4 linked regions of the Drosophila melanogaster genome follow. The protein of the gene in region 3 purifies or fractionates together with the protein of the main gene of each other region. This does not show direct contact. Each region holds a gene or a part of one and is shown on either strand. Other genes may lie near its edges. The genes, in order: CG10887, clu, Trap1 and Hsdl2.

Region 1 (4,392 bases), on a different chromosome or scaffold from region 3:
AATAATCATAGTTAACAACCAAATGTATAACTATTTTCAGGATAACGCCTTTTGCTAACAAATAAAGTACTTATTAATTTCAAATTTTTAACAAGCTAAGTATGTATGTATCTTATTTCGGCTACCTGAGATGGCGGTGACAAATATAAAGCTGGAATCAAAGAGCAAAGTCCGACTGAGCCGCTGACCAGAAAGCCACCCACTTGCCGCCCCCAAAACCCACATACGACCCACCGAGTCACGAGTCCAATCTCCCAAAAACACCAGGCAGCAATCCAATGCACCTACCATTAATTGCTTTGGGCGTTGGTATGCCGGCCAGTTTGGCAGTCGGACAATGGCATTTGGGTTAGAGTGCTCCGCGCTGCAATCACGACCCCATTGTGACCTTTAGCAATTTCTGCGCCGACTACCAATGTCTGCCTGCCTCAGCTGCCACGCCCCCTAATTAAGGCAATGGCCGTACACCCACTGTGGGCGCGAGAAATTGTTAATTAAATATCAGTTGCAGCTACTCCTGGCTCTACGCTTTGTTGCGTGCTGGCTAATGACATGTTTATTGAGATTTCGTATCTAGCGGCTATTTAATATTTAGTCGGAATCTGATCCGGAATAGACCAAACGCGTGGGCTTGCGGATAGCACCTCCGATCGGGAGATCGTCTTCGGAACTCGATTGCTTTCCTTCCTCCTGGGAATTGGGTGAGCTCCAAGAAGCATCATCGTCCATATGATCTTCGGTATCTTCCTCGCTGCGCATTGGTTCATTCGTAACCTCCAATGCAGAGCTTGTCTCGCAATCTGCACCCTCACCGTCGTCCTCTTCGAATGCCCCTGCGTTTTTGGCCACATTGTGATCGGAGCCTTGATAGTGCCTGTCACGTTTCGGAGGATGATTCTTCATAAGCGCGCGATTCTTTTCACGACCCTCCTGGCGAAGCTTGGACAATTCCTCCTTCATGCGCCGATCATGATCGTGCTCGGGATTGGAGCCCATGTTCGTTATCACCTTAACGCACCCAGACTGTGGCTTATTCGTGGCTCGATTACGCAAGGCCTGGACATGACTCTGTCCGAAATTGGAGTCCAGCATGGGACGCACAGTCAACTTATTCTGGATCAAACCCTGAGGCTGGTAGAAGCTGCCCAGGCGAACATACAAATGGTTCTGGTTAACGGTCACCGGGTGATGCATCATATCGAAAACCTCGTTGCCCACATGAAAGGTTTCGCTGCCATCGGACCAACGAACAATTTTCGCATTGGACTCCTTGGTTTTGTTTTCGTTCTCGCGCCACCTAACAGTTGCCTTTAGACGATTTATGAAATCCTCGCGTGACTGTTCGTCCTTCAAATCATTCTTAGTCATGCGATCCTGAAAGGTTTCAGGCACGTATGCCTTGGATTCCACGGGTATGAAATAAGGCATCTTCAGAAACTGCGATGGACCTTTTAGAAGTCCACAATTTTGGGTTGTTATGGTGGTCTGGAACTTAACTGCTACATCTTTTTCAAAAGGTTTGCGTTGTTCTTCTATATCAAGAACTTGCGACTCCTTATCACCATTTACCTCTCCATTCATTCCATTTCCATTTTGATTCTTTGCATTATCACCGTAATCGAAATTTAAATCGAGACTATCAGAAGAGGCATACGACAAGACATCGGATTCCTTTTCATCTGAACTATATCGCAATTGGGACAACCTTTTTTCAATGTTGTAATTTTTTCCATTTGATTCATACTCTGTATTTGAGCTGGGACCTAATGGCACAGGATTGACCCTGGGTTTTAAAATATTACCTTCGGATGATGTCGGTGGAAATGAAGAACATTGCAATGGGAGCAATTCTTTTTCCATTGTATTACTTTTATTTATTGGGGTCGATGTAGAATGTTGCTTCGAGAGTAGGTCTTGTTCCATCTCATCAATCAATCCATTTGCTACTTCATTCGAGCTTGGAAAATTGGAAATAGAAACTGTCCCAGGGGACAATATGTTGCCCTCGTTAGAGAGCTGTTGATTATTATCTTCGTCAATGATTGTATTGAAATTGTCTTTAAGTTCTATGAGGGAAGTTGATTTTCTGATGTTAGAGACTGTTTCAGAGTCGACACTTCCCTGGTCATCACTTTCTGAAAAGCTCGGAATGCCGCCAACCTGTCCCGCAGAAGTTGTGGTTTCATTTGAGATATTTGAAGAAGATTTCGGGTTGCTCCAGTTAATAGATTTCGGTTCTGGAGCACATAATAATGATGATGAAAGCGAAGATGAAGTCGAAAACGAAGACGATTCTCCTGAATCTGGTGGACTTCCGGAGCTGGATTCAGAGGTCCAGCTTGAATTGGATGTGGAAATATATGGTCGTTCGCTTTTCGATGATGTCTTGGCGTTCAGATCAGATCGAGATTCAAGAGGTCCCTGCGATTCAGGAACACTATTTGCTGTTGAGTGAAAAGAATGTGAACGGCTTTGGTGCTGCCTTCGTGCCTTAGTTTTATTTCCTTGTTGATCAACGCTGGAGAAAGAGGGATTCGGGCTCCTGGAAAAGCCATATGGGATTACTAAGTTCTGCAGAATATATGTACCTAAACCAACCTCCTATTGAATGCAGGCCAGCTTTCGGAAGATTCACCATCTAAAGTAAAAGCGTAGATAATAATTCAATTTTTATTAATATTCTATAGACTACAAACCTTTTATTACTTGATTGTCGTGCAAATTGGGGTCAGCCATTTTTAGCGTAAGGCGAAGAGTTAGTGGAACACAATTTCTTCACAAGCAGCACAGAAAAAAAACTATATGGTTTTTTACGTAATGACAGCCGAGCCAAGTGACTGATTTATCGATTGTTTGACAGAGTTGTCTGGGCAAGAGTTGTCAGCTTTTCTAACAATCAGTGTTGTTCCCCTACTGTTTTAATTGGTTTAAAACTGTTGGAATATACTATTCAACCTACAAAAATAACGTTAAACAACACTACTTTATATTTGATATGAATGGCCACACCTTTTATGCCATAAAACATATTGTAAGAGAATACCACTCTTTTTATTCCTTCTTTCCTTCTTGTACGTTTTTTGCTGTGAGTAGGTCGTGGTGCTGGTGTTGCAGTTGAAATAACTTAAAATATAAATCATAAAACTCAAACATAAACTTGACTATTTATTTATTTATTAAGAAAGGAAATATAAATTATAAATTACAACAGGTTATGGGCCCAGTCCATGCCTAATAAACAATTAAATTGTGAATTAAAGATTGTGAAAATAAATTGTGAAATAGCATTTTTTCACATTCTTGTGAAATAGCTTTTTTTTTCACATTCTTGTGAAATTATTTCCTTCTCAGAATTTGAGTGAAAAATGGACAAGGCTAAACGTAATATTAAGCCGTTTGATGGCGAGAAGTACGCGATTTGGAAATTTAGAATTAGGGCTCTTTTAGCCGAGCAAGATGTGCTTAAAGTAGTTGATGGTTTAATGCCTAACGAGGTAGATGACTCCTGGAAAAAGGCAGAGCGTTGTGCAAAAAGTACAATAATAGAGTACCTAAGCGACTCGTTTTTAAATTTCGCAACAAGCGACATTACGGCGCGTCAGATTCTTGAGAATTTGGACGCCGTTTATGAACGAAAAAGTTTGGCGTCGCAACTGGCGCTGCGAAAACGTTTGCTTTCTCTGAAGCTATCAAGTGAGATGTCACTATTAAGCCATTTTCATATTTTTGACGAACTTATAAGTGAATTGTTGGCAGCTGGTGCAAAAATAGAAGAGATGGATAAAATTTCTCATCTACTGATCACATTGCCTTCGTGTTACGATGGAATTATTACAGCGATAGAGACATTATCTGAAGAAAATTTGACATTGGCGTTTGTGAAAAATAGATTGCTGGATCAAGAAATTAAAATTAAAAATGACCACAACGATACAAGCAAGAAAGTTATGAACGCGATCGTGCACAACAATAATAACACTTATAAAAATAATTTGTTTAAAAATCGGGTAACTAAACCAAAGAAAATATTCAAGGGAAATTCAAAGTATAAAGTCAAGTGTCACCACTGTGGCAGAGAAGGCCACATTAAAAAAGATTGTTTCCATTATAAAAGAATATTAAATAATAAAAATAAAGAAAATGAAAAACAAGTTCAAACTGCAACATCACACGGCATTGCGTTTATGGTAAAAGAAGTGAATAATACTTCAGTGATGGACAACTGCGGGTTTGTCCTTGATTCTGGTGCTAGTGACCATCTTATAAATGATGAGTCGCTGTATACCGACAGTGTGGAGGTTGTGCCTCCACTTAAGATTGCAGTGGCCAAGCAAGGCGAATTTATTTATGCCACTAAGCGTGGTATTGTCCGACTACGGAATGACCATGAGA
Region 2 (4,840 bases), 9.6 Mb from region 3:
CCTCGGCACGAATAGCGTCCACTGTGTGCTCCAGGATGGGAGCTGCCCACTGGTACACCTGATAGGGCGTGGCTACACGCTCGAAGGCATGACGCATGGTGCGTCGCTTCTGGATGGTCTGGAAGGCACGTCGGAACGATGGTGATATGTGGGAAAGCAGATCGATCAGCGAGTGGCTGAGGTGGCTTGGATTGTCGGGCTTGGGATTAAAGGTGTCGTCTGTCGACTGGTTGATGAAGAAGCCCTTGGAACAGGCTGAGATGTGGAATCGTTTATCCTCCATGGTGACAACGTACAGATACATGAGGTCACCATGCAGCTTGCGAGGACCGGGTGGCGGGTTCCAGGCGGATGTAGTCAGTACCTTGAGAGCCTGCGGTCCCTTGGCGTTCTTCACATTTGGATGCAATGGCAGAATTGGCGGATCACTTACACCCGGAGTCACATACTCCGGCGGAGTGCAATCCACGGAGTCCGGTCGCGTCCTCTTCTTGTCCAGCAAATCACCCTGAGTGATCGTGTTTAAGTAGGTCAGCGAAGTACAGTCAATGCCATTGTACGCGTCGGCCGGGTCAAGGTTTTTGAGAAGATCACGGACATGGCGCACATGAATACGGGCCTCCCGCATGGTGTACGGCTCCTCTACCACTTTGATCGTCGAGCCCTGCTCAAGGTTATTGATTGACTTGAGTTCGGCGAAATTGTCGAGCGTCACGTTGTCCAGCTGCAGCGAGAAGCATGTACGATGGCACGTCTCTTCGCGGTCCATCAGCAGCTGGTGGATTTCCTGCACCAGCTCCATGCTGGACAGCTGCACGCAGAGCAGATCGGCGCCGGGACTGCTGATGTTCACCGTGATGCCAATGTCCTGCAGAGCGTCCAGATCAATGTCATCACCATCAGCCTCAGCATCCGGTGCTCCTCCTTCCTGCGGTTTCTCCACATTGGCATTGGTATCGGCATTGTCCTCAACTGCATCCACCACTGTGGGCTTCTCGGCGTGTCCGTTGCTCAGAACGGCTTCGGTTGTGGGTTCAGTTGGGCTTTTGTTGCGGTTCTTCTTGCCTACATGGGGCGATGAAGAAGTAATTTGTTGTTAGTCAATATTGGGAAAGGCATATGGAGCATTGTGTAACCTATTCGATGTATAGGGAGAAACGTGAACTTTGGACCGACTTTTGTTTCCATGTCTCTCAGAAGAATCTTGTATAAATCCGTTATTTATTTATTATGGTTCATTAGTATGTTTTTAAAAACAAAAGATTATTCTTAGGAATTTAAATTTCCAAGCAATGCTGCCAAGTTTATGTTAGAATTTAATGTTTACCATTCTTAATTTATAAATAGTGGTTTATATCTAGTTTAATAATTAAACCTTGATATTATTTGAAAAATGGTGACAGAATTAAAGGTAATGCAAATACGTTACACGTTTCTTTTCTAAAATTGTCTGGCAATATATAATAATTTAAAAAGAGGTGTCTCTACCTCCAGGCTCCGATTTTTACATAACAATACTGTCCGCACACTTTTGTCGCTCAGTTTGTCTGTGTTCGCCGGCAAGCTGTGTGCTTGCATATACATATAAAGGCATATGTACATACATTTACAACAAAACAGTAGAAAAACAAACAGAAAGAGAAAAGCGAGCTGATAAGGCCAAAGGGGCCGGGTTCGTTCGGAGTCCGTACGAACGAACAGTCCACCGAATAATCCAATCTCCTTTCGATCTCTCAGGAAAACGGAATGGGTTTAACACGACCATGCTAATTTCAACAGCCGTATACTAAATTACAGCACTGTGAGATACATAGAGATAGAGCTAGGGAGAGAGAATGAGAGAGGCAAAGAGAGTGGGGAGAGGAGAAAGCAAAAGTGATAAGTACAATGTTCATTAACCGCAAGGAATTCGGAGAGAAGGAGACAAAGTGTAGAGCGATGCGTCTACGGATAGAAAACATGATTTACATAATTGTCGAACAATTTGCGTGTGTTAAGTGCATGCATTTCGGGCCGCGCACGTGTTAATTGTAGGTTAAACGCAACAAGAAATCCGCCCGGGGGGTTAATGAACATTTCGTCGCCGTTGCCGGGTTAATAACATGTGCGTTGCCATGCCAAGAGGAAGAGAAAGAGCGAGAGAGATAGGGAGCCTCACACTTGCAGTTCTCACACACGCACTTAACTCCAATAATACACACACACACATTTACGATTGCAATTGTAACCCACGCGGTTTATGGAGAGAGGGGGAGAGGGAAGGCTCGTAAAAGGGGGTGGAGGGGCAGCCATAGACAACGGGCGCCGCTTTTAAGGCATTATAGGGAAGAAAAAGCCCATTACGTAATGTTAAAAATGTTATGTGATTGGCTTTTGTGGCAAATAATATATTGAGGCAGTTTCCAAGGCAGCAAAGCTAAGAGGAGGTGGTGATGGGTTGGTGTGTGGGTGGGTGGGTGGTTGATTGGTTGGTTGAACATGGGCGTAGGCGGAAAGTTAAACGCACCTTTCTTCTTCGCAGCCGGCCCGTCGGCAGCCGTGCCATTGCCATTGACCAAGTTCTGATTCGAATTCTGCTGATTCGAATTCGGATTCAGGTTCTTTTTGCCGCCGGCCGTGTTGTTGTTCTCCTTGGCCTTGCCGCTGGCCTTTGTTGCTGTTGCTGTTGCATCGCCCGTGGCCGTTGCATTTGAATTCTTCGCCTCCGTTTCAAGCGCCATGCTTTTGTTTCACCTGCTCGCCAAAAACTCAACAAAACCAGCGGAGGAGACACAGAGTTCTAGTTCACGTTTCTTTTTTTTTTGGGCCCGTCCGTCCGTGTTACACAACTCTAACCGCTCGCCGAGCTCGGGGTGATTTCGGTTCGATTTTCAGTGTCTTTCTGGTCGATTGCGAACGTGATTGTTGTTTGGTTAACGATCTCGTACGCATCTATGACAAGTGGGTCTTTGCTAGTTCTGTTCTTTTCAGCACATTACTTATCGAGGATATAAATCGGCCGATTCGCTAGAAAATAACGCGTTATGTTGTTAACGGCTGAGAGTGTGACCACCGGGTGAACATTTAAATATACCGCTGGCATTGGCTTGGTTGCAGTATTTTAATTAGTATTTAGTTATTTGCTGTGTATAATTGCAGATGGACAACAACTAGTGATAGGGATGCACACGCAAAAACGATACCAATATATATGATTGCATTTATTTTAACAACAATTGTGTTCTGTTTAATAAAAGGTAATTTATGCACAATACAAACTTATTTTTATTTAAAACAAATTTTTAAGCCTTTTTATAAAGTGCGTCATATTAGCGTCGTTGAGGAACAGTGAAATTTGTAACATGGGTAGGTTTTTTTTATTTTATTTGAAGGTGAATTTCTATTCAACAATTTTTAAAAATTAATTAATGTAAAGGGCCTGTTTTAAGGATGGGTTGGTTCATAGCTGGACCTACTGTTATGAAATTATCTCAAAAATTGAAATTTTCCTGAAATTCCACCGTTCCGCCATCGCCGCTAACTTATCGACTCTAATTTGACGCATACAATTTTACAGATCAAGCATAGTCCCCGTTAAGTTTTTTTTTTAATTCGGTGTGTATTTTTTACGACTTGTAATACAGCCACACATAAAATACTGTTTTTAACCAAACAAACATGTCGCTTATAAAGAATTTGGTAAAAGAGCCCGAACAGAAGGCAAAGAAAAAGAAAAAGAATGCGGGATCTGGAGAAAGCGATTCCGATGAGAAGGACAAGCCTCTGCGGCCGTTCATCAAAACCGCGACAGATCTACAGAGGCTGAAGCTGGAGAAGCTCATGAAGAATCCGGTATGTGTTTGCATTGGAAAGCTGGGTGGACATTCATATTAATAAACCTTTTATTGCCAGGATAAGCCCGTGGTCATACCGGAGCAGCGTCGCGAACGGGACTTCATGTCCTCGGTGCCCACGTTCGTGCGGAATGTGATGGGAAGCAGTGCTGGAGCGGGTTCCGGCGAGTTCCATGTGTACCGCCACTTGCGACGCAAGGAGTACGCCCGCCAGAAGAACATCCAGAACCAGAGTGCCCGCGAAGCAGCAGATGAAGCTTACCAGCAGAAGTTGGACGACAACAGACGCGCGGCCGAAGAAAAGACTGCTAAGAAACGAGCCAAACGGTTGAAGAGAAAACAGAGGGCGAAAAAGCCGAGAGAGGACAAGAAGCCACTGGCTAAGGAAGCCTCAGAGGATAGTAACACAGATTCCGAGGAAGAGCCCACAGAAGAAAAGGCAGAAAGTAGCCCTGAGGAAGGACAACAGGTGGCATCCAAGGAATCCGACGACAATAACACCCAAGAAACTTCGAATGAAGAGGCAGTGAATTCAAATACAGAAGCGAAAAGCGCAGAGGACACAAATGCAGTGGAATTAGATAGCACCGAAGCTACAAAGGAATCCCAAAATGTGGATCAAGAACAAGACAAGCCTGTGCCTTAGTACCTCCTGTTCTATTCCTATCAATAAACCGTTTAGAGTAATAAAACACAGTGCGGTTTTATTTATAGTACTTTTGTAATATATATATATTAAGCGATTTCTATACATCGCCAGTATCTAGGGGTTTTCATCTGAGGCCATCTTTCTAAAGCAGCTTGGTTGAGAAGAAAGCGTTTTGCGAATTATGCATTGAGTTGTCGTGGCTTTAGTGCGCATTTTGTTTTTTGTTGTCTTACATTTATAAGGTGCATCAAATGTTGCATTTTTGAGTATAATAAATGCTTTCAAAATTTGACATCGCAGGCAATACATTAATTATACCCTTGACAGAAATCCACCATTTTTAGTTCTGGGTATAAAC
Region 3 (4,806 bases):
CCTGATGAAAGCTGAGTGTACGGACTAGCTGGACAATCTGAAGCACTCGCTGGCCCATGCGCTCATCAGTCCCGTTGCTCCGGCGCAGATTAAGGAAGTGCAACTCGTCGCAGGCCGCCAGCAGTTCACTTCGAGCGGCAGAGTTCTCACCGTCCTCCTTACTTATCAGACCGTTGTCCAGCCAGGCCTGCTCATCCGTGTAGAGCTCTAGGACCTGTGGCTTGTCGTGTAGCAGGTCGCGCCAGAAACTGAGCTGCGAATGGTGTCGAACCTCGGTGTAACTGTGCTGGAACAGCTGGCGCATGGTGAAGTCAGCGTAGACTCCCAGGTGAGCAAGCAGCACATCAAGCAGTTTGGGGCACTCGGACAGCTGTAGGGTGTGGCGCGCCTCGTTGGCCATAAGTGTGCACACGTTTATGGCGAAGTCCTGCTCATTGGGCAGCGGAGAAAGCAGAGACAACAGCAGCTTCTCGTAGCTGCTGTGTCGGTGCAACTGCGTGGACATCTTGTACTGTCGGCGTCGTTCCACATTAACAGAGTGCTGGCGCTGGTTGTAGGCCATTGGCACCGCCGGCAACGTAGAGTGTGCTGATCCAAAAATGCTTCCTAGGCCACCACCGGCGCCAGCCAAAAAACGAGATCGCGAGCGTCCACCGCCCATTTCTACAATCTCAATAGCCGCCTCCAGAGCCTCCATCTTGTCTGGATCCTCGCCAAAGAAGTTCAACCGTTCGTACTTGTCCAGGTAGCGTCTGTAGATGTGCTTGATACTAGCCGTTCCGTTAACGCAGCGCTCCCGCAATGTCTCCATGGCGCTGTACACCTCGTCCCACTCGTCCCGCATGGTCACCTTATTAAAGCCGCCTCGTTCGGTTACCTCGTTGTACAGCTTGTACAGGTCGACATGCTTACCGCTGATCCTGGCGGGCTGTGTCAATGGAGTGCTGTTTGGGCAGAGGGAAAGTGGGTTAGGTCGTCTCCAAATACAGGAGAGCCGCGGCAACTCACCCGCGTCGTTCGTGAAACTGCTGCAGGTCCCTCCAGAACTCCTCCGGAGGTGACGGCGGCATCTCCTCGACCTTCTCCGGCATGATCTGTAATTGGGCGGGATTCTTGGCGCGAAGGGGAGTCGCTGGGGCCGCAATCTTGCCCGGCGTCTGTAGATCGCCCGGCTGAGTGGCGCTGTTTACGGCGGCAGCAGGCAGCGACTGAAGCAGCACCCGTACGTTGTCGATGGTGGTGGCGCTCATGATTGGATCTTTTTGTGTGGTGGCGTGAATGGGAAACACTTAACACATGATATTCTAATAGTAAGACACGCAGATGCTAATTAAAATTATTTAAAAAACTCAACAAAAATTACAACGCGACGCTGACGCGCTACAGCAGAGTTGCATTCACGAGCAGGGCTGTCAGCAATTGGACCGTATATCGATATGAGGTATCGATGTCTTTCAATATTGGATTTGATTTAACTTTCTTTTATTTACTGTCTTCTTTGAAGACATTTGTTATTTCATAACTCAAAAATCAGCATCCAATCTACATTGGCTAAACAATGAAACGTAATCTGTTCTTAATTCCTTCAGAATTTACGGTTTGTTGTTCACAGTTGAAACATCTCTATCTCTCTCTCTCTCTCTTGCTGATCGAAATCTTTAGAGAACTAGTCAGCTGGCAGTTTGCTTCAGTTTTGAGCTGAATAATGTGATGAAACTGAACTCTCCATTACATGTAGTAACTCTTATTCAAACCAACTAAGCATTTGAGTCCAAAATTCATTACAGCCCAGAAATTTGGAAGAAAACACCGTTATGAGTAGGGTTTTACCAGTTTACTATTATCGAATACTTACAATCGATTGATTTGGCTACACTGTGCACACATGTGCGCTGGAACAAACTTCGTAGTTGGGTAACATTAAAGTTGGGCAAAACATTAAAACAACAAGATGTCTGTACGAGCGATGGGAGTGCTGGGCCAGGCGTGCCGCCTCGGTCGCTGTGCCCAAGTGTTGAGGCAGAGTCACCGATCCGCCCCAGCAGCGTTCAATATCACCATTGGATCGCAGCATTCGCCGGGTGGTAAGCACTGAATATAAGCAACCGGCTCCCCGGAGGGATTCTTATGTTTACATAACACTCATCTTTTCACTTGCAGCTCTCTCGCTCCGTCGCTACTCCACGGAGACCAAGCAGGCATCAGGATCAGTGGTGGACAAGCATGAGTTCCAGGCAGAGACGCGCCAGCTACTTGACATTGTGGCTCGTTCCTTATACTCCGACCACGAGGTCTTTGTGCGCGAGCTTATTTCGAATGCAAGCGATGCGCTGGAGAAATTTCGGTACACCTCGTTGAGCGCTGGAGGCGAGAATCTGGCTGGAAAGGACCGGCCTCTGGAGATTCGTATCACCACCGACAAGCCACTGATGCAGCTAATCATCCAGGACACGGGCATCGGCATGACCAAGGAGGAGCTGGTCAGCAACCTGGGCACCATTGCACGCAGCGGCTCGAAGAAGTTCCTGGAGCAGATGAAGGGGACCCAGCAGGGAGCCAGCTCGGAGGCATCCTCGAACATTATTGGTCAGTTCGGCGTGGGCTTTTACTCTTCCTTCATTGTCGCCAATAAGGTGGAGGTGTTCACGAGGGCGGCTGTGCCTAATGCACCCGGACTGCGTTGGTCCACGGATGGCAGTGGAACCTACGAGATCGAAGAGGTGCCTGACGTTGAGTTGGGAACGCGAATCGTGCTTCATTTAAAGACCGATTGCCGTGAATATGCGGACGAGGAGAGGATCAAGGCGGTAATCAAGAAATACAGCAACTTTGTGGGCTCACCCATCTTGCTTAACGGAAAGCAGGCCAATGAGATCAAGCCTCTGTGGCTTCTTGAGCCACAAAGCATCAGCAAGGAGCAGCACCATGACTTCTATCGGTTCATTAGCAATAGCTTCGATGTCCCGCGCTTCACCTTACACTATAATGCTGACGTACCCTTGAGCATCCATGCACTGCTCTACTTCCCCGAAGGAAAGCCTGGTTTATTCGAGATGTCTCGGGACGGAAACACCGGTGTGGCTCTTTACACCCGCAAGGTGCTTATTCAGTCCAAGACTGAGCATCTGCTGCCCAAGTGGCTGCGTTTTGTAAAGGGTGTTGTCGACTCTGAGGACATTCCACTCAACCTGAGTCGCGAGCTGCTCCAGAACAGCAGCCTGATTCGCAAACTGTCCAGTGTGATTTCCACCCGCGTTATCCGTTTCCTGCAAGAGCGGTCCAAGAAGCAGCCAGAAGAGTACGAGGCCTTCTACCGGGACTATGGGCTTTTCCTGAAGGAAGGAATTGTAACCTCCAGCGACGCCTCCGAGAAAGAAGAAATAGCTAAACTTCTGCGTTTTGAATCCTCCAAGTCGGAGACCGCCAGTGGGCGCATGTCGCTGGAGGAGTACTACAACGCCGTTCCCGCAGAACAGCAGAATATTTACTACTTGGCAGCACCCAACCGCGTTCTTGCCGAGTCCTCGCCCTACTACGAGAGTCTGAAGAAGCGCAACGAGCTGGTGCTCTTCTGCTACGAACCCTATGATGAGCTGGTGCTCATGCAGCTGGGCAAGTTCAAAAGCAAAAAACTCGTTTCCGTGGAGAAGGAGATGCGCGAAGAGTCCAAGGAGACAACAGCGACCACCGACTTTGGCGAGGGCAGTCTGCTGCGCTCAGAGCTCGACACTTTGATTCCCTGGCTGGAGGAGGAGCTCAGGGGGCAGGTTATTAAAGTAAAAGCCACCACTCGTCTAGACACCCATCCCTGTGTAATCACCGTAGAGGAAATGGCTGCCGCTCGCCACTTCATTCGCACCCAGAGTCACCAGGTGCCAGAACAGAATCGATTTGCCCTGCTTCAACCAGAACTGGAGATCAACCCAAAGTGAGTCCTGCTCCTCACGTTTCTTTCGTTGCTTTCTTATTTTGCATTTTTCCTTACCTTAGGCACCCCATCATCAAGAAGCTTAACAAGCTCCGTGAGAGCGACAAGGATCTGGCCCAACTTATCGCCAAGCAGCTCTTTGCAAACGCAATGGTGGGCGCCGGTTTGGCTGAGGATCCCCGCATGCTGCTAACCAACATGAACACTCTGCTATCGCGGGCCCTGGAGAAATACTAGAGTGCGCCGTAGAAGGAACAGTGTAGATATACCGACTATGTAATATTAATTTCTATAATTAATTTCATAAAACGTGTTGAAATAGTTTTAAATATGTATAATTAAACGTTTTAAATATTTTAATTCCAAAAATGAAGGGGAATATAATTTTTTCGGGCTTAATTTTAACTTTGTGTGCCTAGTGTGTGCACAATAATGGGGCTTACACTAGGCATTTTATACAAAGAGTTTTTGCATAAACGTATTCTTTGTTCAAAAGCTCCATAGAAACCAATATTTCTAAAAAAAAGTGTAAATAAAATATGAATTTGTTACATTATACGTACTATAAAAAACGTTTTGTAAGCTATTTTATAATAGCTAATACCGTTCTTGGGACCCATTTAGTTCGAGCAATTGAATTTTTCTATGGTACAAAAAGATGTTTTCCATACAAGTTCATGAACGAATTGACCAAGCTATCAGAAATATAAAATAAAATATTAATTTTGATGTGCTTATGTTCTTCAATTTCGTGCATCCTTTTAAAATCGGTGTGAAAGCAATGCTTTAATTGTATTGGCTCTAGTGGAAACATTGTTAGTGCATTTTGACGTCCATCAGGTGGCAGCGCTGGCACAACTATCGCCGAAAATCCGCCC
Region 4 (3,877 bases), on a different chromosome or scaffold from region 3:
GCACCTCGGCGACAGTCATGTTACTGCATCCGCAGAAGCACCTTATCAGCTGTAGGGTCTTGTTCTAGCGATAGCGCACAAAAGTCCGATGAGTAATTGACTTCCTTGCCCACCTCTTCCTTGTTTCTACTCACCTTGCTCGAACTGCTGGCCATTTCGAATGTTTGGTGTATCAGCCTCTTAAATTGGGTGTATCTCTTTATAGATTATGTTCACTTGACGACAGGTGGACCCACACCTTGTTTACTCTTACTTCCTATTGTATTGCTTTTTACTTGTGACCGGCACGATTTTTAACCCACGAATTTTATTGGTCAACAAATAGGGCAGTGTGATTGCGCAGAGGTGTGCCGAAAATACAACGATTCCCTTGGATGAACTAGATCTGGTCAGTCTGAATGAATTTGAATTGCGAATAGCCCGCGCTATTCCAAAATATTAATTTATTTTAATTTAATTCATTAAACAATGAATTATTCCCACATTAACAACGCACTATGACAACTATAACTACTACTCGATCATCGATTAATTGCTGGCTTTTGGAATTTCTAAGGAATCTCATACTTTATTAGGAAAATACATACATACATAAACTGAAACGCTTGTAAACAATAGAAAACTCAGCCACTCAATCGCACCCTACAGCTTGGACTTGAGCGCCTTCATTAGCTTCTCCAGCTTGAGAGCCTTCTGGAAATCGCCGCTGATCTTCAGCTTGCCGGTCATGTAGGCGGGAGCCGCCTTCAGTTTACCCGAGAACATGTCGAAGAAGTTCTTCGAGTTCATGGTGAGCGTGGCGTCGGGAGCGGCAGTTGGCGTTCCGGCACCGCAGGATCCGGAGCCGTTCTTCAGGTCCAGGAACCAGGTGCCCTGCTCGGCGCCGCTGATGTTGAACTGGAAGACAGCCTGCGTCTTCGAGACGATCTCGGGCGAGAGGAGAGATTCGATTTTCCGGAACAGCTGCGGAATCTTGACGTCTCCTCCACTTGCGGGAGCAGCAGCATCTTCTGCCGCAGCTTCATTCTCTACCGGAGCTCCCTTCTCCTCCACGAAGAAGTCCACCATCAGCTTGTCGGCGTTCTCGCGGAAGCAGGCGTATTCGGTGAGATCAGTGATGCCCGCCGATTCCAGCACCTCGTCGTCCACAAAGAACTGACCAGTAGACTGCCTGGGCTCACGGGTCAGGATTGCGTAGGCGGCATCGGCCATGATCTCCGGCTTGCGTGACCACTTGGCGGAATCTGGACCCGTCAGCATCTCGATGGCCGCCGTGTGAATGGCAGTGCGCGGCCACAGAGCGTTGACGGAGATTCCCTCGTCCTTGAACTCCGCGGCCATGCCGAGCACACACATGGACATACCGTACTTGGCCATGGTGTAGGCCACATGCGGGCCAAACCACTTGGGCTTCATGCTCAGCGGCGGCGAGATGTTGAGAATGTGGGCGTGGTTGCTCTTCTTCAGGTACGGCAGGCACACCTTGGACACCAGAAAGGTGCCTCGAGTATTGATGTTGTGCATCAGGTCGTAGCGCTTCATGTCCGTATCCGGGGTATTGGTCAGCGAGATGGCGCTGGCGTTATTGATCACAATGTCGATGCCACCGAACTTGGCCACCGCGGCCTCAACGGCGCTGCGCACCTGTTGCTCATCCCGCACATCCACAACGCAGGGATAGGCCTTTCCGCCGGCCTTCTCGATCTCCTCCGCAGCCGAGTAGATGGTGCCCGGCAGCTTGGGATGCGGTTCCGCCGTCTTGGCCGCCACCACAATGTTGGCTCCATCGCGGGCCGCCTTTAGAGCAATCTCCTTGCCAATTCCTCGAGAGGCTCCCGTGATGAACAGGGTCCGTCCGGCTAGTTTTCCTGTGTTGATCATCCTGTCCAAAGTTTAAAGACCGTTCGCTGTGAGATCTGGATTCACACCGGTAACGGTGACAGTGTTCTCAATCGAAGATTCCAAGAGAAAGTCCAAAGTGCAGATTCAACCGATTTGATCCACACAACAAGTCGTCGAGTTTCATGCACGCACACACACTCACCACTCCACACGCACACTGTCTTCTCCTGTGCCCGGTGTGGCAACCTTCGCCTTTGACTTGCAAAAATATGGCAGCACTCGACATATTTATTTGAAAAATAAACGCACTGATAGTGGCGAATTTTTATGTTAGTTAAAGTTAATTCGTAGATAATTTGCAAGAAACAAAAAAAAGATTAACTAGTAAATATTTCAATTATTATCAGTTTTTATAAATTCACAACTAGCAAAATCATGTTTTTTGTCCGAAAACTGGTTCGAAAACACGACAAGTGATCACATCTCTAAGTTCGATACTGATAGCCGGTACTTATCGATAAGCCGTTGGTAGCTGAGTGTAGCCATGTCATCAAATTCAAATTCCAGCGCCACTTTTTACATCGTCAGTACTTCTCATCAAAAATGCGGAGTAAAACTTAGAACGGCTACCAAGTACTTTTATTAGTTCTAACTCTACCTATCTTATACAAAAATGGCACACAATGGAAAACAACGATTCATCTATAAAACTCAACGCCCAACAACTACCTTCTGCTGCATGTTTAACTAAGTCCTCCAAAGTCCTTTTAATAAGTGCAACCATATGGGTTCTAAAGTTCGTAGGCCCGGTCGCCGTTCTGTGATTGTTAAATGAGGGTGTCCTCGTCCTGTCCCTCGAAGACCATTAATAGCGAGTGCTGCGAGGGTGAGCGGCCCAGGGTCAACCCACCCAAGGATCCATCCGGCGAGAGCAGGCCAGTCTGCAGGCTGTTGTTGTCCCGATAGCCAGAGGTGGAGGATGTCTGTGAAACGGAGTCCCAGGAAATCTCGCCCAGGGTCTTTGCCTGCGCCTGCGGGGCCTGCTCCTCCTGCGAGGTGACCTTTGAAGGACATATGTATGGGAATTTCAGGGCTAAAACATCTCTGGTCCACTTACAATGCTGGGTGGTTCCATGGGCGTCAGGCGACTGCGCTTAAGTCTAAAGGTCTTTCGGCTGGCGGCCTTCGATCGCTGCAGGCGTGAGCGGGTATGATCGCCGGAACTATCCTCCGCCGGGCTCTCCGGCGAGAGCGGTGTGGTGGATGTCTCCCCGGATGAGTGCCGGAACTCCACGGACGAAACGAAGCGCAGCTTGGGTGGCTGGGCCTTGAAGGGAGCCTGCTGCAACGACTGCGAATGCGAGAGATGCGAGGGTACGGCGGAGGCGGCACCGGTACCAATACCACCGCCCGATCCATGTCCCGATCCGCTCGGCGTGGCCCCCACCAGCGTGGGCGCCGATCCTGCGTCCGCCTCGCCGCTCTGGCTCTCGCTGGTCGTCGTGTGCGGATCCCGGCCCGTGGAGCTGCTCGAGAGCGACTCCCGCGGCGGGTGCAGCGTCTGCTGCGACAGCGTGTCGCTGGGCGTGCAGATCCCGCCGGATCCGCTGCGCGAGTCGATCGGCACGGCGGAGACGTGGGAGTGCGAGGCCTGGCCCGTGGTGGTTCCTGTGAAGATAGATATGAGTGAAGGTCTTTGCTGCGACTTGTGGGCTTCAGCCGCACTAGTTGCCGCCGGTGTGTCGCTCTTCTTCTGCTCGGAACTCTCGCGATCTGTGGAGACTGAAACATGAGTGGGTGTGTGGCGTAAGGATTTGGATTCCGTCCGCTTTGGCCTCTTACCGTAGCGTTTCTCCTCCAGCTCGTCGCGCAGGTCCCGCAGCTCCCTGGCCAGTTCCAGCAGCAGAGCTCCCTTAGACTTAATCCCGCCCTGCGGCGGTGTTCCGCGCAATCGTTCCCGGATGATAAACTGCATGTGTCGCTCGTGATCCCCAATGGGTGGCTGCGATATCTGGAAGATATCAATCGTTAATGT

What was found.
Region 1: the proteins of Trap1 (region 3) and CG10887 purify together in Drosophila melanogaster (affinity purification with mass spectrometry, with the first as the bait; one large-scale study listed by BioGRID). This does not show direct contact.
Region 2: the proteins of Trap1 (region 3) and clu purify together in Drosophila melanogaster (affinity purification with mass spectrometry, with the first as the bait; one large-scale study listed by BioGRID). This does not show direct contact.
Region 4: the proteins of Trap1 (region 3) and Hsdl2 purify together in Drosophila melanogaster (affinity purification with mass spectrometry, with the first as the bait; one large-scale study listed by BioGRID). This does not show direct contact.

The regions. Positions count from the first base shown.
Region 1 is NT_033777.3:20,113,283-20,117,674, reverse strand, and holds CG10887 (uncharacterized protein), read right to left. Parts: upstream 2,838-4,392; 5' UTR 2,737-2,837; coding exon 2,697-2,736; intron 2,639-2,696; coding exon 2,599-2,638; intron 2,543-2,598; coding exon 592-2,542; 3' UTR 536-591; downstream 1-535.
Region 2 is NT_033778.4:16,184,803-16,189,642, reverse strand, and holds the start of clu (clueless), read right to left. Parts: upstream 3,060-4,840; 5' UTR 2,721-3,059; coding exon 2,507-2,720; intron 1,755-2,506; exon of another isoform or gene 1,489-1,754; intron 1,066-1,488; coding exon 1-1,065. Other genes in the region: CG8441 (uncharacterized protein), read left to right, coding at 3,658-3,831, 3,892-4,479. UniProt on the Drosophila melanogaster protein: mRNA-binding protein involved in proper cytoplasmic distribution of mitochondria.
Region 3 is NT_033778.4:6,633,133-6,637,938, reverse strand, and holds Trap1 (Trap1), read left to right. Parts: upstream 1-1,676; 5' UTR 1,677-1,951; coding exon 1,952-2,084; intron 2,085-2,160; coding exon 2,161-3,928; intron 3,929-3,990; coding exon 3,991-4,165; 3' UTR 4,166-4,292; downstream 4,293-4,806. Other genes in the region: Bap170 (brahma associated protein 170kD), read right to left, coding at 1-944, 1,009-1,250.
Region 4 is NT_033777.3:27,675,688-27,679,564, reverse strand, and holds Hsdl2 (hydroxysteroid dehydrogenase like 2), read right to left. Parts: upstream 2,044-3,877; 5' UTR 1,882-2,043; coding exon 643-1,881; 3' UTR 552-642; downstream 1-551. Other genes in the region: CG12883 (uncharacterized protein), read right to left, coding at 1-64, 135-155; unc80 (uncoordinated 80), read right to left, coding at 2,670-2,903, 2,960-3,624, 3,685-3,853.